4 separate regions of the Mus musculus genome follow, and regions 2, 3 and 4 are each reported to be linked to region 1. The links are microRNA targets in miRTarBase. Many come from high-throughput screens and were not tested one by one. Region 1 holds a microRNA gene; each other region holds the end of a gene's coding sequence. Distances are from middle to middle.

Region 1 (3,164 bases):
TCTGTAGCTGTCTTCAGACACACCAGAAAAGTGCATCAGATCTCATTTCAGATGTTTGTGAGCCACCATTTGGTTGCTAGGATTTGAACTCAGGACCTCTGGAAGAGCAGTCAGTACTCTTAACCGCTGAGCTATCTCTCCAGTTCCAAAGTTAACATTTGTTACTGTGACAATAAATGGCCCTGTGAAATGCTGTCTCTTTCCATAGCAAGGGAGAAGCAATTTCTAATCTCTTCTTTGTTCGTGTTAATTTAGGTCTATGAGGCACATAGTCCTTCCTGTATCATGAAATATGGATAATATAAGATTACAGAGTCACGTTGCCCCACTTTCATGGATCTGAGTTTCTCCATGGAGAAGGAACAATTGGTTTCCTCTAGGAAGGCCCCCTGCAGCAAGAGCAAGCTAGAAAATCTGCTCCCCATGTTTTGTGCAGTCGTCTTTTTATGCAGACTTTGTCCCAGATGGCTCTTTCCACTTCCACGCTGGAAAGCTGGGTTTCTCTGCAATACTTGATAATGGATTATTTCACTGTCTTTGTGTTTTGCAATGTAGTTTTACAAGGTAGTTCTGGGTAGTCTAGAACTTACTAGATAGCTCATGCTGGCCTCGAGTTTTACAGTCTTTCTTCTGTCTTCAGCTGAGATATATACCACCATGCTACGAGGGCTTTAGTTTTAATCATGCAGACTTTTTCGCTTTGATATTAAATTTAAAAAAAAATCTACTACATATTTCCTGGTGGCTCAGTGGGTAAGAGCACTTGTTGCACAAGCTAGGGACTTGTGTCCAGCTTCCCAACACCCACATGAAAAAGTATGTGCTGCCCAATATCCCCAGTGCTATTGAACAGAAACAGAAGAACACTGGGGCCCCATTCTAAGTACAGTGAGAGATCCTGCCTGGGGAAAAAGCAGAGAATGATAGAGCAGGCCACTCAGTGTCCTTTCTGCTCTCTTCCTGTACATAAGCTCATGCATCTTTGTGTGTCATATATACTGTTGCACACCTCACAATTTAATCATTTTGGCTAAAGTGATTTTGTTTTTTGGTGGAGATCTCATGTAGGCCTGGATGAACCCCAAACTCCTGACCCTCCTACTTCAATTTCTCAAGTGCATGCATGTGCAAAAGCTAATTGATTTGTTTTTGAGAAAGGGTATCACTATGAAGCTGACTAGTCTGGAACTTGCTATGTAGAATTGCCTGGCCACAGTCTCACAGAGGTGGCATTAACAGCATGTCCCACCATGCCAGGCCCTAGAGCTAAATTTAAAGAATATGTATGTATGTATGTATGTGTGCATGTGCATGTGCATGTATGCATATTGCATGTATATATTATGCATACATGTATGTATTTGCTTGTGTTTGTATGTGTACTACAGCATGCAGGTGCTTCAAGATGATCAAGAGGATGTTGGTTTCTCTGAAGTAGAGTTAAAGATGGTTTTAGCCACCTGATGTCAGTACAGGATATGGAACCCAGGTGCTTCGAAGAGAGCAGCCAATGTTCTGAACCACAAAGCCATCCATCTCTCCAGTGCCCAGCTAAATTGTCAACGGGACTGCTTATGTTTCTTCCTTTGGGGCAGAATAAAGAGATGGACCTGACAAACCCTTTTAGCTACTGAATCAATTTAAGGTATTCACTCTAGTCAATTTGGAGGTTGTTCAGCATACATAATTATTTGTTTGAGACAGGGTCTACCCATGTAACTCTGGCTGGATGGGAATTCATTGTGTAAATTAGACTAATCTATATATTTTCTACAATCCTGCCATTAAGCTTGGAGCTCTAGGGTTTCTTGTGCCCTCTTCTGGCTAATGAGAGCACTGCATTTGTGTGTACAGATCCATACACAAGCTCCCACAGTATATGCATAATAAAAAATGAAATAAAATCTGGATCAGGAGAGATGACTCATTAGTTAAAGCATTGGCTGCTCTTCTAGAAGACCTTTGTTCAACTTACAGCACTCAAAGTAACTCACAATTATTTTTGACTCCAGTTTTAGGGGACACATGCTCTCTTCTATCCTCTACATGTGCCAGGCATGCAGGTGCTGAACAGACATACAAAAATGCAGGAAAACACCCATGTGCAATCAACCAATCTATTTTTAATTAAAAATTTTTGACAGGAGTGCTGATATACTCCTTTAATCCCAGTGTGGACACTATGCCCCTCCTTAGATTTGGGAACAAAACACCCATGGAAGGAGTTACAGAGACAAAGTTTGGAGCTGAGATGAAAGGATGGACAATGTAGAGACTGCCATATCCAGGGATCCACCCCATAATCAGCATCCAAACGCTGACACCATTGCATACACTAGCAAGATTTTATTGAAAGGACCCAGATGTAGCTGTCTCTTGTGAGACTATGCCGGGGCCTAGCAAACACAGAAGTGGATGCTCACAGTCAGCTAATGGATGGATCATAGGGCTCCCAATGGAGGAGCTAGAGAAAGTAGCCAAGGAGCTAAAGGGATCTGCAACCCTATAGGTGGAACAACATTATGAACTAACCAGTACCCCGGAGCTCTTGACTCTAGCTGCATATATATCAAAAGATGGCCTAGTCGGCCATCACTGGAAAGAGAGGCCCATTGGACTTGCAAACTTTATATGCCCCAGTACAGGGGAACACCAGGGCCAAAATGGGGGAGTGGGTGGGCAGGGGATTGGGGGTGGGTGGATATGGGGGACTTTTGGTATAGCATTGGAAATGTAAATGAGCTAAATACCTAATAAAAAATGGAAAAAAAAAAGAATCCAACTTGTCTTTGATGTCATAGATTGATATATGGCAGGGACTTGTCCCTTTATTATGCTCAGGTCTGAAGAGTAAAATCATGGCAAGCTCATATTAATGCAAACAACTTTATTCACTTTGACATATTTGTTGAGCCCACTCCTGTAAACACATGCGCACACATACATGCACAAACACACACACACACACACGCACACACACACACACACACACACACACACACACACACACACACAGAGAGAGAGAGAGAAAGAGAGAGAGAGAGAGGTCTTACTTTCTTTATTTAACAGAAGATTGTGAAAACAAAACTCAGGAAAAGAATATGTTGATACCTTTGTGTCTATTTTCACTTAACATGAATATCACTTGCCAATTTTCAAGGAGA
Region 2 (3,164 bases), 71 Mb from region 1:
TGTGATGCTGACTCAGACTGCAAAGGACAAGAACCCAGTGCCCACAGGGTGATGGTGATGAGCTTCCCTCGGTAGTGTCCTAGCTCATCTAAGGCTTGTTTTATTTGCTTTTTTTTTTACAGACCTAACTACCGTAATGAATGCTGCATATTGAGAGACACCACAAGAAGGTTAACTGTTTGATTGTCTAATTCTTGGATTTGGATTTGATATGAACCAACGGTCTTTGTTGTCATTGACAGAGCCCCAGTATGTGTGTGCATTAGTCACATTCCTCTCTGTTCTGTTGAAGGAAAAAGAGACATTTTAACCCTTTTAAGGTTGACTTTATTTTATGTTATTTGGTTGCATGAAGTTGCCCTTAATCACTAAGAATGATGAAGATTTTGCAGACTTCTCTGTGTCTAGGCTCCTTTTCCAAGTCATCAGCTTCCTGCCTCTCTCCCACCATCATCAGATACTCAGCTAAACAGTAATTCATATTGTTAGGTGACTGCTCAACATAATACTTCAGGATGGGATTTTCTTTGTAGCAGAACCCAAGAACCAACTCCTAGATACATACTGTTGGTGTATTGGAGATGAAGTTAGAGTCATCTTTCAGTTTTAAGGCCATGTGTAAAGTTTAACCATATGTACAATACCTATTCTGTATTAGAAATAGCTAGTTGAAACTTAATACTTCTCAAAACTCATGTTCCTGTGTCCACAAACTAAGTTTATATGTGAACTTACTGAGTCTTTTTGTGTCATACCAAAATAAAGCAAGGACTTATTTTTTTTCCCAAAGCCAATACAATTTGAGCCAATCCCTCAAGATGGTCACTTTACACTGAAAGCTGAGCTCAGCAGGAGCACTGTGGGAAACAAAGCATTGACTCTTGAGTACAGAGTTTAAAATAGACTTTTCTTTTAGAACTAGAATTAGAGTAGTTAACGTTCATCCGCCAACCATTGTTACGTGTGCATTACTGTCGCTCTTGTGGTGATAGAGTCTTATTTATTTTTATGCCAGCTTATACTGTGAGAACTCATTAGTCAGTTTGGGTCTCATCAACCCTGCTATGCTTGTCCTTGGAAGATCTTTTGTGTGTGTTTGAGGTTTGTAGCTGAGAAGTTTACTGTAAAAAAAAAAAATCAAAAACAAAAAAATGTATTGTTTTTACAGAATAAATTTATTGGAATGTGTACTGGGAGTAAGGTTTGAGGTTATAAACAGCCGAGTTAGTGTTATTTGGCTTCATATGTGTAATGTGAAGTATTAATGTGTTTCTTGTATTATAGCAAAGATTGACAGCAAATTGACATTAGAATTAAGTGCAGGTGAAAATTTTATTTTTTCTATCATGTTTCTTTTTAAGTATTCTGGATGTTAGGTTAAGTGAAAGCCGTGGGGGGACAGGAGGGAGCAACAGCAGGAGCTGCAGCAGCAGGGGCTGTCTGCACGTCTGCGACAGCCCAGCTCAGGGGACCCTGCATTTACACACAGCCTTCCGTGCATCCAGTTTGCTTTTGGTGTTCTTACTGTGTTGAAGAACTAATGAACGTGAAGAGAAAATAGAAGAAGACCTAAGAGCCCAGTGTCGTTGTGAAGATGGAGGTGATGTGGGGCTCTGGATGCACTGGTCTACTCACCCCTCCCTCCAGGACATCACTGTCCTTTGGGCTTGCTCCTGCCGGTTAGCAATCAGTGGTCCCCTGTTGTGCTCACGCAGTTCCATGTATGGAAAATTCATTAAGAGACAGGCTGTTAAGTCAGGGTTTTTTCTTTAAAAGGTACTTTTTAATTTTAAATATTTTAGTTTAAAATAATGAAATTTGACAAAAGATCTCTTCATTATCATGCAAAACATATGGAGAATGTAGATAGCATTTTTAAATTGGAACATATAACAAAGGTTTTTTTGTTTGTTTGTTTGTTTGAGGCAGGGTTTCTCTGTGTAGCCCTGATTATCCTGGAACTCACTCTGTAGACCAGGCTAGCCTGGAACTCAAAAGATCAGCCTGTCTCTGAATCCCAAGTGCAAGGATTAAAGGCGTGTGCTACCACTACCTGGCACAGATTTCTTAAATAAAAAGTTCAAAATTTGTCATGAAAATGTATATATAAAATGCTTCAAAATTAATAAAGTTTATCTTCATAAACACCAAAAATAATTTTATTGAAGGTATACACAGTATTGAAGGTATACACAGAAACACAAGAGAAATATTATCAACCAATAAAACAAGTGTTCATTAAGGCAACTAATAAAGTTGATTTGTGTCATCTTAGCTATTCAAATTCACAATAGAAGTTTTGACAGCAATTTTTAAAATGGCAATAAATAATATGCTTTCCTTGTGAAAACACTTGAATCAATTTAAAAATATTGTGATGATCTGGCATTTATATTAAGATTGTCAACAACTCATACATTTCATATGAAGCCATTTCTCCAACCTGCAATTGCTGTTTTGAATTATTTCTTATGCATAGTATGGTTAGTTACTTCTGAATAGTTTCATTTTTATGCTTTTTGTAGGCACTAGAGTTGTAATTTTCACACATACTATGTGCAAACAATGCTAAAATCAATGGTCACATTCATAGACAAATGGTGATATATTTCCTTAAAAAAGCTGTTTCTCAACTTTAATTTTCTTTCAAAACTGAGAATATACCCAGATACTACCCTTAGTTTCACTCACATGTATGCTGCAGAACAAGTGTGTTCTTGTGAGTATTCCTGTATGGAGGGGATAAAGGAGAGCGCCAGTCCCATTAACAGGTCAGAGAGAACTGTGAGGTATGTTTGTTTATTCCAACTTCTCATCTGCCTTAGTTCTTAGGAAGAACTCGGGATTGTAGGTACAACGGTAGGCCAAGAGCTGAGGAAGAACTCCATATGCTATGTTTAGTGCTAGAAAAAAGATTTTCGCTTCTTCGGGGACTCTGTAGACATAAGCAGTTCTAGCATGAAGGGACGCACCAATGTGAGAAAACTGAGCCTGTTTATATTAAAACAAAACAAAAAAACAGTAAGGATGAGCTCTGTTCACTTGGATTAATGATGAATTCTGAGTGTCTCATTCAGACCATGTGCCCTCAAAACCTGTCTTAAAGGCAAAATACCTTTAGGTAATCCAGTCTTAATATATAATCTTTCACTAAATTTAAGGTT
Region 3 (3,164 bases), not on the chromosome of region 1:
AGTAAACAGACAGACTAGAGCAAATCAACAGCTTCTAAAACAGCAAGTTCTCAACCTGTGGGTCACTTTGAGATCAATTGACCATTTCAAAGACCCACATATCAGATTTCCTGCATATTAGATATTCACATTATGATTCATAACAGTGACAAAATCACAGTTAGGGAGTAGCTGTGAAATAATTTTATGATTAGGGGTCACCAAACTCTGAGGAACTGTATTAGCCGGTTGCAGCATTAGGCCAGTTGAGAACCACTGTTAAATGATCAGCCTTCTAAACATGCACAAAGAAAGAGAAGCATTTTCGAAATCACAGGACCAAAACTAGATTAAGCTGATTCAGATGCTATTTTCTACAGTATAATCAGTGTAGTGATGGCTGATGGAGCCAAGAAATTAGTGTTGATGTATTTGTTCTACCAATAAAAAATATTCAGGTAAGAGTGGTGTTATAAGTGACTGTTATGCTGTCCTGTGTCCTTTCTAGGCTGTACAAGCTCTGCGAGCCACCACCTCCAGTAGGAGAAGAATGAGCATTCCACGTGCCATGGGACAGATGCTTCCAGATGCTGCCCAAATTAACATTCTCCACCGAAGACAAAGAGATGCAAATTAAAGATTTAAAGTTTTCCCATGATGTAAATAACTGATGTTTGGTTTGGACATTTATGCTGGAACTAGAAGTTCCTTCAGACAGTTCAGCCTTACACTCTATACATTAAGAATACAGATTCACATTAGGGCAAAATTCACTTCTCGTATTTGTAGAAAAATATACAGAGATAAAAGATTAACTATTTTGGTTCCTTTCTCATTCATTAATTATATTGTATTTGTGTTTAGCTTCCCCAATGGACAGATATTATACTTGATAGTTTTTCTTGAAGAAGTCTGTCCTAAAAATGATGACCACACTCTGGAAACAATCATACAGAAACGTTAAGGACAGTGTAGATGAGGAGTTACAGGTGTCCCATATACCACTTGAGTCACCAAGAAAGGCGCATATGAGAGGTAGGGAAGTACCTGCCTCCCTTTCTTCTTGGGCTTCCTGGTAACAAAGAGAGCTCAGAGGTTCTGGCAAGACTTTTTCCCTTTTGTTATGTCTAGTCTCTGGTCTTGTAAACACTCCAGTAGGCAGGTGCTTTTCTTGATCTTTCCAATGAGCCATGAGTGCTGCGTGATGGACCACTGATGGCGGTGGGTAGGAAGTTGCTAGGTTGGAGAGAGAGGAGTGAATGAGGATGGAAAATAATACATGTATTGACCACTCACCCCTTGCCAGAGAAAGATAAATTCTTAATTATATGAAGTCTTACTATGAAATGTCAGACTGTTAAAATAACACACCTTCCTGAGAATTTTTCTATCAAGTTATATGTGTAAGATATGAAAATAGATTTATTTGTTGTACTTCAAAAGGTCATTAGAGAAAAACTTTGATAATTTATGGAACCAAGGTATAGACTGTATTCATTCTAAAGTATATGCAATATTTATCACTTCTGTGTTAATATACTAAAATTATTTTAGCACATAAATATATTAATATTGGTTTTAAATATATATCTTTACAAATAATTAAAACAGCATCACTGTGATTATGATAGTTGTGCTTTGTTTAATGACAGGAATAAATTGTGCCTTTAGGTGATATTATCATCGTATAAATGTCATGGGGTGTACTTACACAAGCTGAGATGACTGTGGCCTCAGACACTATGACCTATGGAACCACTTCCTATAGGCTGTGCATCACTGGCCCAAAGACCTCTAACAGCACAGAACTGTGTGTGGATATGGGCTAAGCACATGAATTCCTTACTTTAACTACAGGTTTGGCAAACCATTATTCAGCTTTACTTTATAAATCTCATAATGAATTTCAGACTATCATTAAAAGCTATCATTACTGCCAGTGATATATTGAATTTAAAAGTGTGCTTCAAAGGTATGGGATACATATATCCTACAAGTTAAGAGTGAAAATTATTCATCACAGAGTACATAAGATTTTTCAGTAAATCTATTTGTGACTAATCATAGAGAAACCAACATTAGTTTCTAAAAAAAAGCCTTAGCATTTTGAATTTAATAAAGATATGACCTACGTTTGCATATATGTGACATACATCCATAACTTTCAGGATTAATATTTTTGCTATCATCAGCATATAAGTGTGAAGCTCTGGTAGTTCAGGCTGCCTTCTCTGAAAGTCTTGAGCGTAAGGAGAGCTGATTGCCCGACTAGGCAGACCCTTCACACTGCTTTACTCTTCTGTGTTCACCAGCCTCACTAAGTCTCCATAGAGGAACAGAAGGGCTACGAAGCAAGCTTATTTTATTTTTTCTCATTAAACTTGTTTTAATGGTCTCAAAATTCTGTGACAGATTTTTGGTCAAGTTGTTTCCATTAAAAAAATACTGATTTTGAAAACTAATAACTTAAAACTGCCATACACACACACACACACACACACACACACACACACACACACACACACACACACAAATGGTCCACAAAACATTCTTTCCTTCTGAAGGTTTTATGATTATATTGCCTGGGCATATTATCTGCTTTTTCAGTATTTATAAATTAGTGTATTTTAAGGATCCAGTCTATATAACAGAATGTGGTTAATGTTATCATTTTTGTTAAACATATTATTTGTGTACACAGCACTTACAAACTATAAAGCTTGCTAGTGTTTTATAGTAACGTCTATCACTGTCATATTTTTTCATAGTAAAATCATAGCTGACATGGTTTAGTGTATTCTAAATGGCACCTTTAATTACCTAGCCCACGTTTTGATATTCCTCCTTCACATAGCCTTGTAGCAGGGATGAAAGCTGACCTTGTCTTATTACCTGTACTTCACAGTTCTGCTAAGCAAATACTAACCCAGTGACTTGCACAAGTCCACTTGATGAACATGGGGGAGTCCGAAGTTAATGGTTAAAACCTGTCTTAAGGATTGCACTGCCTTTATCTGTTGTATGAGTACCATTATAATATTAATAATTATTTTCTGACTAAAGTTGGAGTTTTATGACATGTATTGTCATTTAATTTATATGGAAGATGTTGCAAAGTCCAGTGGGAATATGCAGAATGCCTTTAAAGTGCAAGAACTATTTTCTTGGCATTTTCCATTCATAAC
Region 4 (3,164 bases), not on the chromosome of region 1:
TCCGCAGAAGAGAGTTAGAAAAGAGCTGAGTCTACGTTTAAATGCTTGTTGGTGTGTGTGTGTGTGTATTGTCTCACAACCTTAGCAACCACGCTATTCCCAAAACTAAATAGTCATGTCCTCTTTACGTGCCCCAGTGTGGAGTTGACAGATGGTGCCTGGAGGCCACCAGTCCCAAAGTGGCAGAGCAGATTCTCACTGGGCATAGGCAGGTCTTTGCAGGGTACCTGGCCATGATAAATGCTCAGTGTCCATTATCATTGCTTTACTGCAGAGACTTCAGCAAGCCAGTCGGCCTGCTATGGACTGGGGCCCATCTCTGGAAGAGAACCGGACGGGAATGTATGTGGCCACACTGGCTGGGAGCCAGTCACCAAAGCCACTGATGGTACACATGCGCAAATACGGGGGCATCACCAGCTTCGAGAACACGGCCATTGAGGTGGACCGTGAGATCGCAGAGGAGGAGGAGGAGTCTATGATGTGAGGCCAGAGACCACCAAATAGGAGGGCTGGTCGGGGCCTCACAGTCCCTTCCGTGGCCTGCAGGGGATTCTGACAGGCAATGGGAGGTTGCCGTGGCAACGACAGTCCCCAGCATAAGTCCCTCTTAGTGGCCTCTACATCTCCTGGAACCTCTATCTAGATGGACATACATACACTAGGTAACTCATTCAAAGCTGAAATGATCCAGCTCAGCCCTTGGTTTGTGAGGGATGTGTTGAAGCCAGGGAGAGAAGGTCTGGACCAAAGTCACATGCCCAAGAGGACCTGTTCCCAAGCCTCCAGCCAGCCAACTCCCTTTCTCTTTGGGGGGAGCAAGCACCATGTTTGATATCATTGTTCAGACATTTTGACAAGATACATTTCCATACAAGCCAACTTTAAACCCCCGGGGTCAGGGTAGTGGAACGCTGGAGAGTCCCAAGGTCCTGGATAGAGAGAGCCAGGGAGTGAATTGGGCAGAAAAGTCTCTGTGGGTTCCTATGTTAAGGCCAGTTTTTCCAGAAGAGGTGGGAGCTTTGGGGGCTGAGAGAGATGAAAGATTGCAGAACATGCAGGAGGGAAGGCTTATGGGTCAGAGCTGCCGCTGGGCCAGGAGGAGGCCCAATCTGCCAGAGCAGAGACCAGGAGTGGCTGGAGATGCTGATGCTCCCAGGTTATAAGAGGGAATGAGGACTATTAGCAGGGAGGGGGAGCCAGAAAGGCAGGGTGGGGGGACTTGCATGGCACTGTATAGCATTTTAGGTCTGTTTGGGGGTGGATTAGGGACAGGTATAGAGGTGGGAGGACTGTGGAGGACAGGAGAGAGGTACTAATGGCTGGAGTTAGATGCTTGGGTGGGAGTGGGTAGAGCCCACCCTTCACCGTTTGGATACCATCCTTGGGCTGGCAGGCGTCCTGAAGAGCTCCCACCATGGGGATAGGAATGAGAAATGAGAGTTTTCTCCCTTGCCGCTGTGGCTTCCAATAACAATGGCTACCGAGACTCTGAGGTGGTCCACACGTCGGACATCCTGATGCTGCAGGGCACCTGACAGGGGGCAGCCTCTGTCCTGGGTCCCTGCGAGATGCTGTTCAGGTGTGGCCCACGCACTGCATTCCCCAGGAGAGCAGGGCACGTTTCATGCAGCATATGACCTAAGAGTGACCTCTCTCCTGGCCTCTCCCCAGCCCATTTGTGTTCTTCTGGTAGGTTGTCAATAAATCCCAAATGGCATCGTCATCTTTACCTGACTCTGCTACAAAAGGCACAGTGGGCGGCGCGGAGTGCTTGCCAGCTCCCACTGGACAGAGGAGGGGCCCAGGGCTGGCCGCTCCTGTTTCTTGCGATCCTGACTTCTGGTGCTCGTTTTTTGTAATGTCTCTGGAGAAACACTGGACCCCTAGAAAGTGCTCAGTCTCCCGATTACATAAAGACAAACGGAGCCCCCGAGGAGAGATACTTGCCCAAAGCGGGGAGGGTAGCAGGTCTTGGCGGCCTTCACCACCACCCCAGAGTATCCCTGCAAGTGAGGCTGGAGCTTGGGTTTTCTAAGCTGAGGAATCTCCCGGTGTTCTCACCCGCTTCCTGCAGGGCCTCAACACATGAAAGAGCCCTAAGCCTTTCTAATGCAGACCCAGGTGTCTGCAAGGCTTTGATGGGGAAGAAAGGAAGGTGGCTGATATTTGGGTATTAATACACTGCCCCTTTCAAAGGGCCAGACCCGCCCACCCCTTTGTTGATACTCCAGGTGGGAAAAGAGTGATGCAGGACCCCCGTTCCCAAGGCAGGCTCCTCTTCCCATACCGGGTACAGCTTCCAGCTTCTGGCAGGGCCCCTGGCCTGCAGCCTCCTTGTCATACCCAATTTGGGGAGTTGGTTCACTCTGCCCACTCAGAGCTGTGGTTCTGAGGGTCTTGCCTTGGGCACCTAGTCATGGCTGCAGCAGGCGACCAAGGAAAGACGAGAGGACCTTGGAGCTGAGACGTCACTTCTTCCACATTGCCATGTGAGAAGGGTCAGAAGGTTATGGGTCACCCGAGTTTTGTGGCCTCTACCTCAGCTCTCAAGGTTTCCCTTGAACCCCCAACTTTTTCACCTCCCCATCCCTCCTCTCCAGCCCAGGCCCCGGATTTGCAAGTTCTCTTGTTACCCATGCTCCGTCTCTGGGCCAGCCAACACACCTTTCCCATTTCTGTGCTCTCTGATTGGCCTTCCTGTTGGGCCACAGTCTCCCTTTGCTTGTGCCATCTCCCAAGCACCCAGGGCAAGTCCTTTACTGATTTCTGATCTCTCTGAGTCACAGTAGACTTGGGTAGACACCAGCCAGGTGGGAAAGCCAACTGGGAACCAGAGGTCCCATCTGGAAGGCTCCATGACAGCACAGGTCGGAAACCAAGGGGAACACTGGCTAAATCCACAATTGGACCTCGGCCTGCAGTCTAGAAGGTACTGGTTAGCTGATACCACCAGGGTCCACAAAACCAGTTAGGGAGGCGAGGAGAGTAATGATATCGATAGAGATGGGGAAATACTGAGCAAGAGACCCATAGTGGGCGTTGGCAGGACAAGAGCGGGACTAGGGTGTTGAAACTTAGAAAATGAAGCATGTCTATCAGGTGATGCTCTGTCTCAGAAGGTAGCCTGGTTGCCGAACGCCCTAGGTTCCTAAGAGTAGCTG

The links. The annotated mature microRNA mmu-miR-297a-5p reads AUGUAUGUGUGCAUGUGCAUGU and lies in region 1 at 1,294-1,315, shown strand. An mRNA with a match to its seed (bases 2 to 7 or 8) in the 3' UTR can be bound and repressed. Matches are read on the target gene's strand: a 7mer-m8 pairs with bases 2 to 8, a 7mer-A1 pairs with bases 2 to 7 and ends in A, and an 8mer does both.
Region 2: miRTarBase lists Tm6sf1 as a target of mmu-miR-297a-5p. The part of its 3' UTR that is shown has no 7-base or 8-base seed match.
Region 3: miRTarBase lists Prex2 as a target of mmu-miR-297a-5p. Seed matches in the 3' UTR shown: 7mer-m8 at 2,127-2,133.
Region 4: miRTarBase lists Slc6a7 as a target of mmu-miR-297a-5p. Seed matches in the 3' UTR shown: 7mer-m8 at 651-657, 7mer-m8 at 655-661 and 7mer-A1 at 871-877.

What each region holds. Positions count from the first base shown.
Region 1 is chr7:10,956,628-10,959,791 of GRCm38, reverse strand. Mir297-1 (microRNA 297-1) reads left to right here and starts at 1,280; the gene lies at 1,280-1,355.
Region 2 is chr7:81,883,042-81,886,205 of GRCm38, reverse strand. It overlaps Tm6sf1 (transmembrane 6 superfamily member 1), which reads right to left. Exons shown (of 10, transcript NM_145375.4): 10 at 2,127-2,991. The coding sequence ends at 2,800. It overlaps Hdgfl3 (HDGF like 3), which reads left to right. Exons shown (of 6, transcript NM_013886.4): 6 at 123-3,164. The coding sequence ends at 128. Among named protein-coding and RNA genes, the nearest start is that of Tm6sf1, 26 kb to the right of the region's middle.
Region 3 is chr1:11,297,221-11,300,384 of GRCm38, forward strand. Prex2 (phosphatidylinositol-3,4,5-trisphosphate-dependent Rac exchange factor 2) reads left to right here. Exons shown (of 40, transcript NM_029525.1): 40 at 488-3,164. The coding sequence ends at 533. Among named protein-coding and RNA genes, the nearest start is that of A830018L16Rik, 120 kb to the right of the region's middle.
Region 4 is chr18:60,993,942-60,997,105 of GRCm38, reverse strand. It overlaps Slc6a7 (solute carrier family 6 (neurotransmitter transporter, L-proline), member 7), which reads left to right. Exons shown (of 14, transcript NM_201353.1): 14 at 275-1,726. The coding sequence ends at 487. Among named protein-coding and RNA genes, the nearest start is that of Gm46632, 15 kb to the right of the region's middle.